Arabidopsis thaliana: one gene and its partner. The protein of the gene in region 1 interacts with the protein of each later gene in a pairwise test. Each region holds a gene or a part of one and is shown on either strand. Other genes may lie near its edges.

Region 1 (6,499 bases):
GGTGACGGAGGAGAGACGTGGAAAAGGGTAAAAGGGTTTCGCGGCGTAGGATTGGGGAGATTTAAGGAGATGGAAGAAAGTGCAGATGAGATGATACAATCCTAGGGTTAGTAGTGACGCTGAAGCGAAGAGCTTGTACATCATCTCTCCCATTTTCGAAGCTTGATTTTAGGGTTTTGTTGTTGTTGGTCGGGATTTGTATGACTGATAAACTTTCTCCGATCTGCTTAAGAGAGGTAATAGAGAGGACGATCTGGTCAACTGCTCCTTTAAGTTGACCGGTTAGTATTGTTAAACCAGCTGACTTTTTCGGTTATTTGACAATTAATTGCACTATTTAAACCGGTTTTATAATGGATTTTCCCGGTAGTTGGTAATTCAATATTGTATTTGTCAGGAAGAGATTGATTGGTGCTTGATTTGTTGCAACATGACTACATGAGCATGATGTTTCACATTCTTAACTAATAGAAATGGATTTAGACTATTTATGGGGACGAAGTGGTACATACAATGTGTTGGTGACGACCAATAATCATAATTAACTAATAGAGCATTAAAAAAACAAAGAATCAACCGTCTTAATTAAGCAAAGCAAAGCAAAGCTGCTATAGACAATGAGAGATTCAGCTAATTATGTGATGGCAATATGACAAAACAGTGGCTGCAATAGCTAATGTTGTCATCCAATAGGACTGAGAAAAGGTGTTGCCAATGGAGGAACTTCGGTCTGAGTTTGTAGATCCTCCTCTAGAACCTGCAAGAACACAAAATATTCATGAAACATCTTTTGATTGAAAAAAAAAGAAAGAACTAAGGTTTGAGTGTGTACGAGTCAAGCAAGCAATGGGATTGACATGTTCTCCACATCGAGCAGGCAACATTTGAGCATCATTGACATCGATGCCAGCTCGCTCGGCTTGAGAACTCCAACGGTTACTAATCATACGGCACAAGCACTCTGGATTGTTCCTTATCACTGATTTGAGAGGATTACAACAAACTTGAGGTACTTCCTTGGTCCCATTCAGGTAATTTAGGCATGGAGCAAGTTGGTTTAGACACGAAACGCTCTGCCCATTTATCCGCATCCCCGAGCTAGCTGCAACTAGAAGAAGTACAACGTAAAAAGAGAAAAACTTCATCCCCATCATCATATCACCTTAGTTTACTATTTTGAGTGTTACTAAAACACTTTTGTACTTGTTTAATTTTTATGTTTGGTGACCAGCTTTTAAGATAGGTAGACATGGTTCACCAGTCAAACCTACTACCACCGTTTGACCATCCTCAACAGGTAAGTTACCAGAAGAACCCATCAAATATGAAATAATTTTACATTACGTAAGCAAATACCAAAACCACAGAAGTAGAATAACAAATTGTTATTCCATCCTAGAATATAGTTCTCGTTCAACCATAAGAAAAACACACAGAGGTTTGGGCTATACAAAGTATGTCATGCCAACTAATAACCCATCGAATAATGGGCTTTTGATGTCCAAGGCCCATATATATTAAATATGTATTTGAAAGTAACACAAGAGCAGTTTCTTGTTTTCATTAATCAAGATACAAATGATAACTTGTTATTGAAAAACTAATGACAAACAGTCACTTTGATCACATAGGCAGAGATCAAGGACGGCGAAACATAGATAAACCCAAAAAAGAAGAAGAAGGAAAAGGTACAAATGAGGAAGGTATTAAATATGGACGATGAGAAAGAATTAGGAGCCAAAGTAGTTGAAACCTTGAGGGAAAGAGTCAGAAACCGGAGGCATTCTGCTGAACATTGGACTATGTACGTACTCAGACGAGTAGTCGTCACCGGTCCAGGTCCACTGTGGTTGGCTATAACACGAATTCGACAAGTCGCTCGGGAGAGGAGGCAGCTCATTACTACTGTCATTAGAATAGCAATAAGAATTCGAAGATTGAGAGCCACCAAACATGTAACTGTCCACTTGATCACAATGAGGCTGAAGCATTGGCGAGTCAGTGGATGAGTATTGGTTAAACATCATCATGTAATCGACAGGATCATTGCTAGGAGGAGCAGGAGGAGGTGGAGGAGGAGGAGGATCGTCAGGAGAAACAATGGAGGTGACGGATGAGGAAGGAGGCATGTCTGAGTAAACAAAGTTGGTTCTGGCACGTGTGCCACGCATGGACCGAGCAGCTCTATCGTAGGCCAAGGCAGCTTCTTCCGCCGTATCGAAAGTGCCAAGCCAGTGACGCTCCTTCGTAGTTGGGTCTCTAATCTCAGCTGCGTATCTTCCCCAAGGCCTTCTTCTCACCCCAAGAAACCTTGTACCAACCTGATCGTCTTGCTTCTTCTTGCTCTTTGATGATGTTGTGTTCATCTTTCTAATAATGATACTATACCTTTATGCATACACAGATCAATAAATGTCCGATATATCTATCTTTTTTCTAGTTGAAGGAAGAGAGGGAATGTGTGTTGGTCTTGGAAAAGTATCCCTTACCACAACCCTTTTATATAAGAGCTATACCTTTCCTTTTTCTCTCTCTTTTTTCATTGTGTATAATTCTTTTATATATCTTTTTATTCCAATTGAAACAACATTTAAAAATGGCTCTGTGTTGAGTTAATTGTGGCCCATGATATATCAATTATCAGTCAATCAAAAGTATATAATTATGATTAAGTTACCACTTGATAGCATGTTTCATGCATTTCTCAAGGTTGTTCTACACTAGTGATTTCATTTTTATACATGGTTAATTCTGCTAAAATATAATGCTGAGTTCCGACTGCCTTTAATCATACAAGTGCTAATATATCAACTCAATCAATTACAATAGTAATACATAAGAGCTTCTTTTTGTTAGGTGATGTATATATTAGAGAAGAGAGTGAAAGAATAACAAAGAAATTAGGATCATTATCAAAAATAACTTAAACAAATACAATCCGTTAGCATATTATATATAAATATCGATAGATACACATAATCATCATTCATCAACAATAATAAGCTGAAACAAAGGGATTAGGAATGATAAGAGCCATGATTAGCATGTTACCTTAGATACCAGTGTCCCGAGTCTAATAATAATAACATGTCCGAATTGATTAACAAATTAACGAGAGATAACGTAATAGATAAACTATTCAATTCAGAGAATATATTTGGTATAACGCGTCCAAATACTACTGCATGTGATGGTCCATATTGAATGATGGAATGTGCATGAACTGCGAATTTAACATGAAAAAGAGAAGCAAACCCTGATTATTGCATATATGAAAACGCAAACACTTTCCGTCTTATCAATCATACAACACATAAAAAAACAATGAGTTTGGTGTTTTGGTTAAAGTTAATAATTGGTAAAGAAGGGTGCAATGATGGCCGCATGATGGAAGGTAGTCGACTAAATTATGAGGAGGAAAGTCATTACTTAAGCAGCTATTATATCATTATATGTGTATTAATCTTGTATTACTAATACGTCAGAGTAGGGTTTTGACTTTTGACCAACACAAAATTAAAAGAGTTGAAGTCTCATGCATTAGAGAGAGATTATGATATTTGATATGAGTATCTAAGGAAGCAAGTGGTAGCCTTTCTAAGACGATCTTATTTTGTGTCAGAGGAAGACCAAAGACCATTTATGTTTATGTTTGGCTACACGACCAACGTTATGGACGGTGATAGTGGATCGTATCATTTCTTAATCTTTTATAATATATACGTCCCATTTGTCTACATGTACAATAATCACAATGTGTGTTAGCGTTAATTAATTAGAGATTAGTCAAAAACAATATAGGGGTAGTGCATGTGCTCCCAATTTTATAGGCTGCAACTTCAATGAATATTGCCACACCCTTTTTCTTTCATCTCCCACTTTCTAATCCCAAGGCATCTATCTATTTCCTTATAATTTAATCATTTATGTGTTTGTCCTCTTGGCTATGAATATGATATCGTCTCTTCCTAAATTCAGTTTCTCAAATTATATATATTCTGACCAAAATACTCCATTCATATTCATTTGCTATATACTATTTTAAAACAAACATGCATTATTGAGAACAAAGGAATTTGGGTTGCATGTGAGCAATCTTTTATGCTTTTGAAATTTTATCTTTAATCTTAATTTCATTGGAGTAAACAAGCCCTATAATTTATGTTCCCTCACTTTTGACCAACTCTCATTTTTCTCGTTTAATTTTATATTCTAAAGTCCAATCTTGATGCATTGAATCTTGTTTACATTTACGTTCCGCTTCTATTCTCTATCGCCTCTTATTATTCTCCGATATCCACAGACCACAGGTTTCTTTACTTAATTAGTACTACGTTCTCATGGTCTACGGTGGAATATTAGTACATGTAAGAACTATATAAAATGTATCAATGGACAAAATATTTATACGAATCCTACTTAATTAGGATTTAGGTCAAGAGCCCTAATTAAGCCCTCCCAGTCAGATCACCGCCTTTTTCACTACCATCACTACTCTTAAGTGACTTCGGCATTTGCAATACCATTCTCGAACGTTGTATGTAACGTCCTCGAACAACTGGAGATATACACAAGCTGACAAGTGAACACATGCATATCCCAATTCTTAACTATATCAGTTTTATGGAAATTGGAAGGATGTTTTGTTCTATGGTCCGAGTCTCAAATTGACGAAACTAGCAATTCTCTATAACTCATCTCGAACTATTCTTGATGCAAATAATTTGATGATCAATTATCTGAGGGTTTGGGCCTCTAATTGTGTTAGTTTAGTAGAAACTAGAAAGAAAAAAAAAGGGAAGAAAGAAGAGAAGGCATGTGCGCCCAACGTGGAAAGGCATTTTCTTGGACGCTTAACATAATTAATCCTTTTTCTAATTATTGCCTAACACAAACATCTTTTGTCTTACTTAAATCTAATTACTCTTTTAATCAAACGACCATGTGATGAGCGCACTAAGTAGATTCATAATTCTCAACCACATTCAAAAGTTAAAAACAAAGTATGTCTGCTTTTGGCTCATCTAAACCTGAAGGTGACATGGGAGAAAATTTAGGGGCACGAGCTTTGCAGTCACCTATCAATTAATCCATTAATCTAACTAGTCTATACACGTTATCCGATGAAGAAGTGTAAAATGTTGGAATTGCCGAGTTAAAATAAAAGATAATTACCTTCCAACACTTGCAAGGGCACTAATATGCAAATGCTCAGGTTCTTCTTCTCTTTAGACCAACAAACTCATTTTGCTTAAACACTTCTACTTCTTTTCCTAGTTTATCTGCAGTTTCCTGCATCCTCTTCTGAGACTCAGCCATTTCTCCAGCCACTTCCCTGCAACTTGCTCCAAATTTTAATGTCTCAGCTTCACAACAAACCATCTCCTTCTCTGTTTCAAGTAAAGTTTTCCTGAGATGACTAGTTTTCTCATGAAGTAACCTTAGTCGCCTGTACGAAGCCATAAATTCACTCAACATTTGTACATGTTTCCCTGAAATACTCTCCAATTGAAGCTTCTCTGAGTTGTACTGATCAATTAGGTTCTGCAAGCAAGGGAATGACCACTCAGCTCCATCAATTTCAGGTTGCTCATGGTTTGTCCTTCCATGTATCACAACAGAACCACTAGAGACCGTATCTCTGATCAAATCACTCATCGCTTCATCCACACTCAACTTAGAAAGAGCACTATTTGTTGGCTGATCACCATTCTGAGTCTTTTTCCATGGCTCTTCAGGTTCGCTCGTAACCGGATCAAACAGAGAGATACCTAGTAAATAGCATAAGAGTTCAAAGAACAAAAAAGTGTATTCCAAGCATAATACTTTAATAGAATCAAAATTGTCCATAAGTGAAGTACCTTGGTTCAGAGCAGTAGAGTGTACATCAGAAACAGACATTGAAATGGAATCCAAATTTTCTAATGTAGAATCATCCTCTGCACTAACAGAATCTTGACATTCTACTACACAATCATCCTCTATACCACTAACAGAAGCTTGACATTCTTTCTCTGATGCCATTTGGTTTGCAATTTCCGGTATAACACCACCACGAGCCTGTAAGCTACTCTCAACATCACTCAAAATTTGATCAGCTTCAACCCAAAAATCAATCTCATCCATAACATCACAACTAGGAATCATCTCAACATCTTCCCACTTGAAGAATCCACAAGCTCCAAATCCCTAACACAATTTCTTAAAACAATGTTAACCAGAATTATCAACTATGAGCTTTAAACTTGCGAACGAGTCAAAACCTTTTTGATGCAGCATATCAGGTAAGCTCTACCGGAAACGTCTTTAACTCTCCGGCAAGGTCCAGCACCGCAGGAACAAATCGGGATGGTGAAGGCAGGACGGAATTTGATATCTTCGTCGGTTACTTTGTCACACCATTTGAAGAAACAGCAATTCTGAGCCTGCGAATTTCAAATGTCGTCAGTAACAAATTCAAATTTCCTCGCGAATTTTGCAGGAGATGAAGAATCAGTAA
Region 2 (8,056 bases), on another chromosome or scaffold:
ATAGGATCACTGATCTTAACATTGACATGACAGGAACTGTTTGTGTCTCCATTAGAGTTAGAGATTTAAACGATCTTTTTGTTTTGTTTTTCTGCCAGCAATGGGTATCCCCTTTTTGTACCAATCCATGATCACTACTCATTTGAAGAGAAAAGTTCATGGACGGGTAGAGATACAACCAATTTTGGTGTCACTTCGTTGAAATCAGATGGAAGTATAGAAGAAGATTATCATGACCTTGACCTTGACGTTGTTAGCCTTTCTTCTGCCTCTCCTCATTCCGTTGAAACATTCAGAAATCTGCAGCAAGGAATTGCACATCTCAAGCAAAGCGTGGCTCACTTGACTGTGTACGGATACAGGTCCCTGTCTCTGGAAGTTCCTTCCGGAACCTCGACTTTTGAAACATTTGCAAAGTTGCTGGCTACATTATCTTCACTCAAGGAGGTTCAGTCTGGTCTTTCCCTTGGGCTGTCAAGGTAAAGCGGCAGATTACATTGTTTCATATGACTATACAGCTTGAGACTGACATATACAGAGAAAAAAAAGTTAGATTACCTGTCCACTATAGCTTTGTATCCGAATTTAGACACTTCATACTTTCACCTCTGACGTTTACAGTTCCAACAAGCAAAGACACGAGCCGAACAAATCCGTGTGGAATTTGAACTCCTCAAGTTCCAGCACCTTGCTTAACAGTTCTCATACTCAGCCAACAACGGTATGACTTTTAGTTAGTTCTCACTAGAGTTATGGAGTATATACTCCAAATGAAGTCCTGATCTTAACCCTACTGGCTTGCAGTGGAACAGTAGCTATTATAATGTTCCGAATCGAGATCCAAGCTACATGGTGGAGTTTCCTGATGTTAAAAAGGATAAAAACTCTATCGGTGAATGGAATTTGGTTGAGTATCCTCATTCTTCACGTCAACCTAATCATCCCAACAAGTATTGATCCTTTCAAGGTAAACAAGTTCTACTTTTCTTTAATTCCTATCGACACGTTTATTTTAATACCCGTGATTCACGAAAACAGGACAATACATTTTGGCAGGAACCCAGATTGTCGATATGTCATTTGTTCATACCCAAGGCATCCTCAATTCTAGTGATACCTTAGAAAAACCACATATGGAGCTTTATTATTTAAATCTTTGATACCTTCTTCTGTAATTATGAAACACAGATAATTATGTAAATTAGCAGGCAATGGAGTAAATATGGTGACATTATGAGTCACTGATCTGCCTAATGGAGTTTGATGATACAACAATGAAGGAAGGTCATGTGCACTTGTGTGACGTGAGAATATCCTCCGGCTTGTTTGGTCTTTAAAAGGAAAGGACACCACAATAACAATTATCAATTAGAAAACAAAAAATACTCCTTTTATTCTTAGTCACCAAACAAATAAAATCAGCTCCTTTTTTCATACCACACAATGGGAACAAAAGCAATGATAAAAGAAGCCCATCACCTTCCTTTGCTTTTAAATTATTCATAATTTATGAAAGAAACAAAAAAAATTATTATTTTTATTTTTGCTTCTCTTCCGGTAAGTCAAAGGAGATAATATTAAGAGTTTAGATATTAATCTCTTAAATTCTGTGTTCATTTTAAGATTTTGTAGCAAAAGTTTATTATTACTAATCATGTGGTTGTACTGCATGTTTAACCAACATGAAAGAATATGTATTCATTTTTTCGGAATGCGAAATAAGAGAATCAATCTCAGTTCAGTTCAAGTTCGAATCTTTGAACGACATGCGGTTTATATAAAAGGAACTATAGTATATAAATATATATTTATATATATGCCTCCTTTAATAGATTTTCTTATATTCCTTCTTTGTTTTGTAATTTATGGAGAATATTTACTATGTATTCTTCATGAAGCAATTTTACAAATATTCGAATTTTAATTTTTCCTTTTTTGAACGTCTGATGATCGATCATTCGCGTGCACAAGAATCTCATCAGGGCATGATAGATTCGAAATTTTGATTTGCTCAGTTACGATATATCTTTGATTATTCTTCCTACGGCGGTTTAAACCTAAAAACAAGTTTTCATGTTTTATTCACCTAGATTGGTTTCAAGTGTATTTTCTAACCACTATTTTTTTCAAGAAAACGGGAAACAAACAGAAACTATTTCTGGTGCAAAATATAGTCTGAAAATAGTAGAATGCAATCCATATCAATCTTGAAAGATATATTTTTTTAAAGTGTACTTGAGAAGAATGTAAGAAATAAGAGATTAAAAAAGGTACGGAGAAGATAACGAGAAAAGCAATAAAATGCATAACTTTTGTAGTCATAACGAAAAAAAGGAGAAAGAAGATAATGAAAATAGTGGAAGATCGGTGTCTTCGTGATGAATTAAAGTAGAATTGTGTGTACGTAACTTTTGTAATCATACTTTCTTTTTCTTCATCAACTATAAGACGTAACAATGATATCTATAATGCATGCATATAGTTTTAAAATTATCTAGGTTCTTGACCAAGGCTTAGTTAGCTCGGTAAGTTTCTAAGAACTTCGATTTACCAATAAATCAAGCCAAACTATATATGATCTTTCGCGATGCCAATTGATATTCTGACAGGATCATACAATATTGTTGCTTTTCTTGTATTTATTTATTTGCGTATCACCGCACCGATTCATATTTATTATAGTATATAGATTGGAAAAACAATATAGAGGGACTCTTTATTAAAGTAAAACCAAGAGAGGAAATAAAACTGAATAAGAAAATAAACAAACATGCTTGTCTTTGTCGAACACACAGATTTTTATTACACAAGTGGTTCCGAACTAATTAAGATTCCTAATTTTAAAATAATAAAGAGATTTAAAAATGTTATCTTTTGTGTTTGGTAGGCCATTAAAGCTCCAATTATTTGTCACTAAGTCAGGGAAGGAGACTAAGCATAAAGACGCCACTGCATAAACCTTATGGTCCCCTCAAAATAAACCTAAAGTTGTAAAAGAAAGAAAATAAAAACATAACGTTGATAAAATAAAATTTGAAGAAAGAAAATCCTACATCTTTGTACCACCTATATGAACCTAACTTATAGGGAAAAAGACATTGATTCTTTTGCAGACCCATCAGCGTGCATGTCCAAAAAGATGTGAAAATGGTTTCGAAAATTATGGATTGGTCATGATCAGTTAGACGATAATTCGGGCTATGATTATGAATATATATTTATATTTAAAAGGATGAATCTTTTCAACTTTAGATATTCTAATTATAGTATAAATCATGATCATTTTATCATTTACGACATGTTTAAATCGCCGTAACATACATAGAAACATATGAAACGATTTTACATATATGACAATTCAATTTATATATATACTACAAAACGTACGGTTCTATATACACTACATTTATGATAAACTTCGAACTTGTCTATAGTTTAAGAAAATCTGTTGCTGCTGTCAAAAGCACTAAATCTTTGATCAACCAATAAATCAAAAGTTTCCCACGATACCAAAATTTAAAGAAACGGGGGAAAAGTATATTTGTTCTGTTAAAACTATTTATTATTTGAACCCTAAAACATAAGACTCTTTCCAATTCTGGAATGCAAATAAATTATACACCACCGGAATAATCGACTGAACTTGGTACGTGTCGACATCGGAAGGTATTTCAGCTCTTGGTAGATGACATCACGTCGTGCGTACCTCAGAAATTAAAGCGCACGATAAGGTCACCTTCTCGGCTTTGCCAAAGATGCATCTCTCTCTTGCGTTTTGTTTGTCGTTAAACGTTTCGTTCCTTTAAATTGATTGTGATTATTTCTTAATAAACTTGATTACTATTATTAATTCTTTAACTTAAATATTACTCTAATGGTGATGCCGTGATGGTCACAAATAAATGAAATAGAAAAAGACCAAAACAAAAAAAAAAAATCCTTTTTTCCTCTCTTTTACATGATGGGAACTCTTGACCTTTAAGTTTTTTTTTTTTGTGACAGGAAGTGTTCAAAGGAACGAAATACACTTCTTCTTCCATTTGATGTCTGTGGTCCGAATGAAAAATATCTCTGTATTAACCAGAAACGTGTTTCATAAGCATCTTTAACTCTTCAGCTCTCAAATTCTTCATGAATATCTCTGCTTATCGATCAAGGTTTGTTAAATTTTCCCTCCCTCTCTGTTTTTCACTTGAAACGTTTGGATCTTGGAGAATTTGGAGTTTCTCGTGTGTTTTTTTTAGTTCCAAACTTTATATTAGTTTTAAAAATGATTAAGAGTTTATTCTGTTTATGGTTTGTATCAGTGAGAGCAAATGCAATTTTTAAGAGCCAGCTATTGGATCTATAACTGAAGGTGAGGCAACACAAAACTTTCTTTTTTCTTTCTGCTTTGATCTATTCTTGTGCATGTTTTTGAAAGATTCTAAATTACCAACTATGATTGGTTTGATATGTAGAGGATATATATAGAGATGATGAGTTCTTCTTCTCCAACACAACTTGCATCTTTAAGAGACATGGGAATCTATGAGCCATTTCAACAAATTGTCGGTTGGGGAAATGTTTTCAAATCTGATATCAATGATCATAGTCCCAATACTGCTACTTCCTCTATTATTCAGGTTGATCCTAGAATTGATGATCACAACAACAACATCAAGGTTAACTAGTTTTCTTCTTTCAAGATTCATTGATTTTTGAAAGTTGTTGTTACTTGTTTTTTTACTAATGGGTTTTTAAATCACGTGCAGATAAATTATGATTCTTCTCATAACCAGATCGAAGCAGAACAACCTTCTAGTAATGATAATCAAGATGATGATGGCAGGATTCATGATAAGGTTTAGATCAAAACAAAGCTAATTATGTTTTCTTTTTTATACATGCATAATAGAAAATGGTGGTTTTTGTGATATTGATTGATATTCTTTTGTCATATGCCAATAGATGAAACGGCGTTTAGCGCAGAACCGAGAAGCGGCTCGCAAAAGTCGTTTGAGAAAGAAGGTAGAAGCAAGTCCCTTTATTGAATCTCATATAGTTTAGTTAGTTGCTACTAAGTCCTCTTTTTTTTTGTATCTTTAGGCTTATGTTCAGCAGTTAGAGGAAAGCCGGTTAAAGTTATCGCAGTTAGAGCAAGAACTCGAAAAGGTTAAGCAGCAGGTGAGCTAGGTCAAAAGATATGTTTAAAATGTTCTGTTTTGAGTCTCTATCAAGAAAATCAGTTTTGGTTTCGTAATTGACTCAGTACTAAATGTTTTCTTTCAAGGGCCATTTAGGACCATCTGGGAGTATTAACACAGGGATTGCATCATTTGAGATGGAATATTCACACTGGCTACAAGAACAAAGCAGAAGAGTTAGCGAACTACGAACAGCGCTTCAATCTCATATAAGCGACATAGAACTCAAGATGCTAGTAGAGAGTTGCTTGAACCATTACGCTAATCTTTTCCAAATGAAATCCGATGCAGCAAAAGCCGATGTTTTCTACTTGATATCGGGAATGTGGCGAACTTCAACCGAAAGATTCTTCCAATGGATTGGAGGGTTTCGTCCATCCGAACTTTTAAACGTAAAAATACCCAAAATGTTACAATCTCTAACAAAAACATTTTCAAAATGTAATATTTTCTCCTTCCCTTTTCTTGTAGGTTGTGATGCCTTATCTTCAACCATTAACGGATCAACAAATCTTGGAAGTGAGAAACCTCCAACAATCATCACAACAAGCAGAGGATGCTCTGTCTCAAGGGATTGATAAACTTCAACAGAGTTTAGCTGAAAGCATTGTGATTGATGCGGTTATCGAGTCCACGCATTATCCCACTCACATGGCTGCAGCTATAGAGAATCTTCAAGCATTAGAAGGATTTGTGAATCAAGTAAGTAGTAAACATTAACTCAAAACAAATTAAGTAAAGTTTGTGTCATTCTATTTCAAACATCTCTATCCTGATTATAACAGGCAGATCATCTGAGGCAACAAACTTTGCAACAAATGGCGAAGATCTTAACGACAAGACAATCGGCTCGAGGTTTACTAGCTTTAGGAGAGTATCTTCATAGACTTCGTGCTCTTAGTTCTCTTTGGGCAGCTCGTCCACAAGAACCAACTTAAAAGAGGAACTTATTAAAACTTTAAAAACAAGAAACAGCAGAATCAAAAGTCTTGAAGAAGCATACTCATCACAAAGCTTGGAAGGATGTTTTAAAAAAGATCTTTGTTAATTAAGTAGAGTGAGATTCTCTTGATTAGAACTTTATGGTTTTTGCTTTATGAAGTATCTCTCCAGAGAAGATTGTAAATTTGGGTTGAAACTTTGTAATATATTTAGATACAACAAATAAGTTTGAAATCTGAGCAATTTGATAATATGTGTACTGAATGTATATTTAATGTATTATTAAGGGACTAATGTGAAACTCAATAAATCAAAGGGTACTATTGTAATTTTCCCATCGTTGCGCTTCAGTCGTCCACAAAAAAACTTCCGTTGGAATTTTCTGAGGAAAATGAGAAAATTCAATTGAAGAAAAGAGTAAAGAAGAAGTCTCTTGTTCGGTTGGATTTTTCAGGAATTTCATTTTCGTGAGCTTACTTGTTCGTTCATATAAAGAGGTGGAATTTGATTTATATGAATTTTGATTTCTGGGTTTACGAAATTGATCGGTTTCTGGGTTGGAACTTGAAGTTATGAGCAATCTTCGAGCTATCTGTAGACCATACTCTGTGTTCTCTTCGATTGTGTGTTGTAGTAGACATCAAAGTCGATCACTTTTTAGGGTTTCGATTAAAAACGTCGCCTTTAGAAACCAGAGTTCGAATTCGTCTTGGTTTAGGTCTAAAAATTCGAATCTTTGGTTTCGTTTGAATCAGAGGAAGACTCTAGTTAGAGCATCGAATTGGAGCCAAGAGAAATCTCCTTACGATACTCTCGGTAAGCTTCTTCTACCAATTCGGGAATTTTATGTATCTTACAGTTTCCTTTGATGTGGTTGTTGATTCACAAGTTTGTGATTCTATTCGATTCATTGGAGTGGTTCTGTTGTTTTGGTTACTGTTTGTGACTTGTGTCAGAAGAATTTGACAAGAAGTCTTTGTGTTGTGTTTCGTGTTTCTGATATGGTTCTATGTTGTATGAATTTGAGTAACAGAGTTGGATAGAAATGCAGAGGAAGAACAGATTAAGGTAGCATACAGAAGATTAGCCAAATTCTATCATCCTGATGGTACTTTTCTGGATCTTTAGAGCACTTTGTCGTCACAAAGTTGTAACTCTGTTTCTGATTCTGTATTTTGTTTGTCTAGTTTATGATGGAAAGGGGACTCTTGAAGAAGGAGAGACAGCAGAAGCAAGATTCATTAAGATTCAGGCTGCATACGAGCTGCTCATGGACTCGGAAAAGAAAGTACAATATGATATGGATAACCGAGTTAATCCGATGAAGGTATGTATATATAAGAGTCATAAACTTGAAGTTTTCTTTTTTCCCTCTGAAATTGTTTTAAGGATGACATGTGTTGGGTTTGTGTAGGCATCTCAAGCTTGGATGGAATGGTTGATGAAAAAGCGTAAAGCTTTTGATCAAAGGGGCGACATGGCGGTTGCCGCTTGGGCTGAGCAACAACAGCTTGATATAAACCTGCGTGCTCGTCGTCTTTCTCGTTCTAAAGTAAGAAATAATGTGTCTTTTTGAGCTTGTTCTTCCAACTTAGTAACTTTCTTCTGCTCTGTTGTGAATCTTGAAACTTATTAAGGTGGATCCGGAAGAAGAAAGGAAGATATTGGAGAAGGAGAAGAAAGCATCGAGAGAGTTATTCAACAGCACTTTAAAGCGACACACGCTAGTGTTGAAGAAAAGAGATCTGATGCGAAAGAAAGCAGAGGAAGATAAGAAAAAGCTCATCACTCAGCTATTAGCAGCAGAAGGTCTCGAGCTTGATACCGAAGCAGAAGAGGAAGAAGCAGCAAAGTAAGATTCCAAACATTTTGGAAGCTTCTATAGCTACTTCAAGTAATTAAGCACATGGTACTTGCTCCCTCTCTGT

Evidence for each region. Proteins that work in one complex are often made in the same cells at the same time.
Region 2: the proteins of LEP (region 1) and TGA7 interact in a two-hybrid assay, tested with the Arabidopsis thaliana proteins (one large-scale study listed by BioGRID).

The regions. Positions count from the first base shown.
Region 1 is NC_003076.8:4,480,720-4,487,218, forward strand, and holds LEP (Integrase-type DNA-binding superfamily protein), read right to left. Parts: upstream 2,529-6,499; 5' UTR 2,367-2,528; coding exon 1,731-2,366; 3' UTR 1,409-1,730; downstream 1-1,408. Other genes in the region: AT5G13890 (plant viral-response family protein (DUF716)), read right to left, coding at 1-153; AT5G13900 (Bifunctional inhibitor/lipid-transfer protein/seed storage 2S albumin superfamily protein), read right to left, coding at 627-757, 833-1,157; AT5G13920 (GRF zinc finger / Zinc knuckle protein), read right to left, coding at 5,212-6,189, 6,264-6,425. UniProt on the Arabidopsis thaliana protein: Cell division-promoting factor involved in leaf blade differentiation, inflorescence branching, as well as in carpel and silique shape. Promotes the number of xylem cells.
Region 2 is NC_003070.9:29,294,484-29,302,539, forward strand, and holds TGA7 (bZIP transcription factor family protein), read left to right. Parts: upstream 1-3,759; 5' UTR 3,760-4,157; intron 4,158-4,307; 5' UTR 4,308-4,357; intron 4,358-4,460; 5' UTR 4,461-4,475; coding exon 4,476-4,664; intron 4,665-4,754; coding exon 4,755-4,844; intron 4,845-4,950; coding exon 4,951-5,010; intron 5,011-5,088; coding exon 5,089-5,166; intron 5,167-5,272; coding exon 5,273-5,578; intron 5,579-5,657; coding exon 5,658-5,888; intron 5,889-5,971; coding exon 5,972-6,124; 3' UTR 6,125-6,462; downstream 6,463-8,056. Other genes in the region: AT1G77890 (DNA-directed RNA polymerase II protein), read left to right, coding at 99-479, 622-721, 805-957; AT1G77910 (uncharacterized protein), read left to right, coding at 1,655-1,924; AT1G77930 (Chaperone DnaJ-domain superfamily protein), read left to right, coding at 6,701-6,944, 7,162-7,236, 7,316-7,455, 7,543-7,680, 7,766-7,984.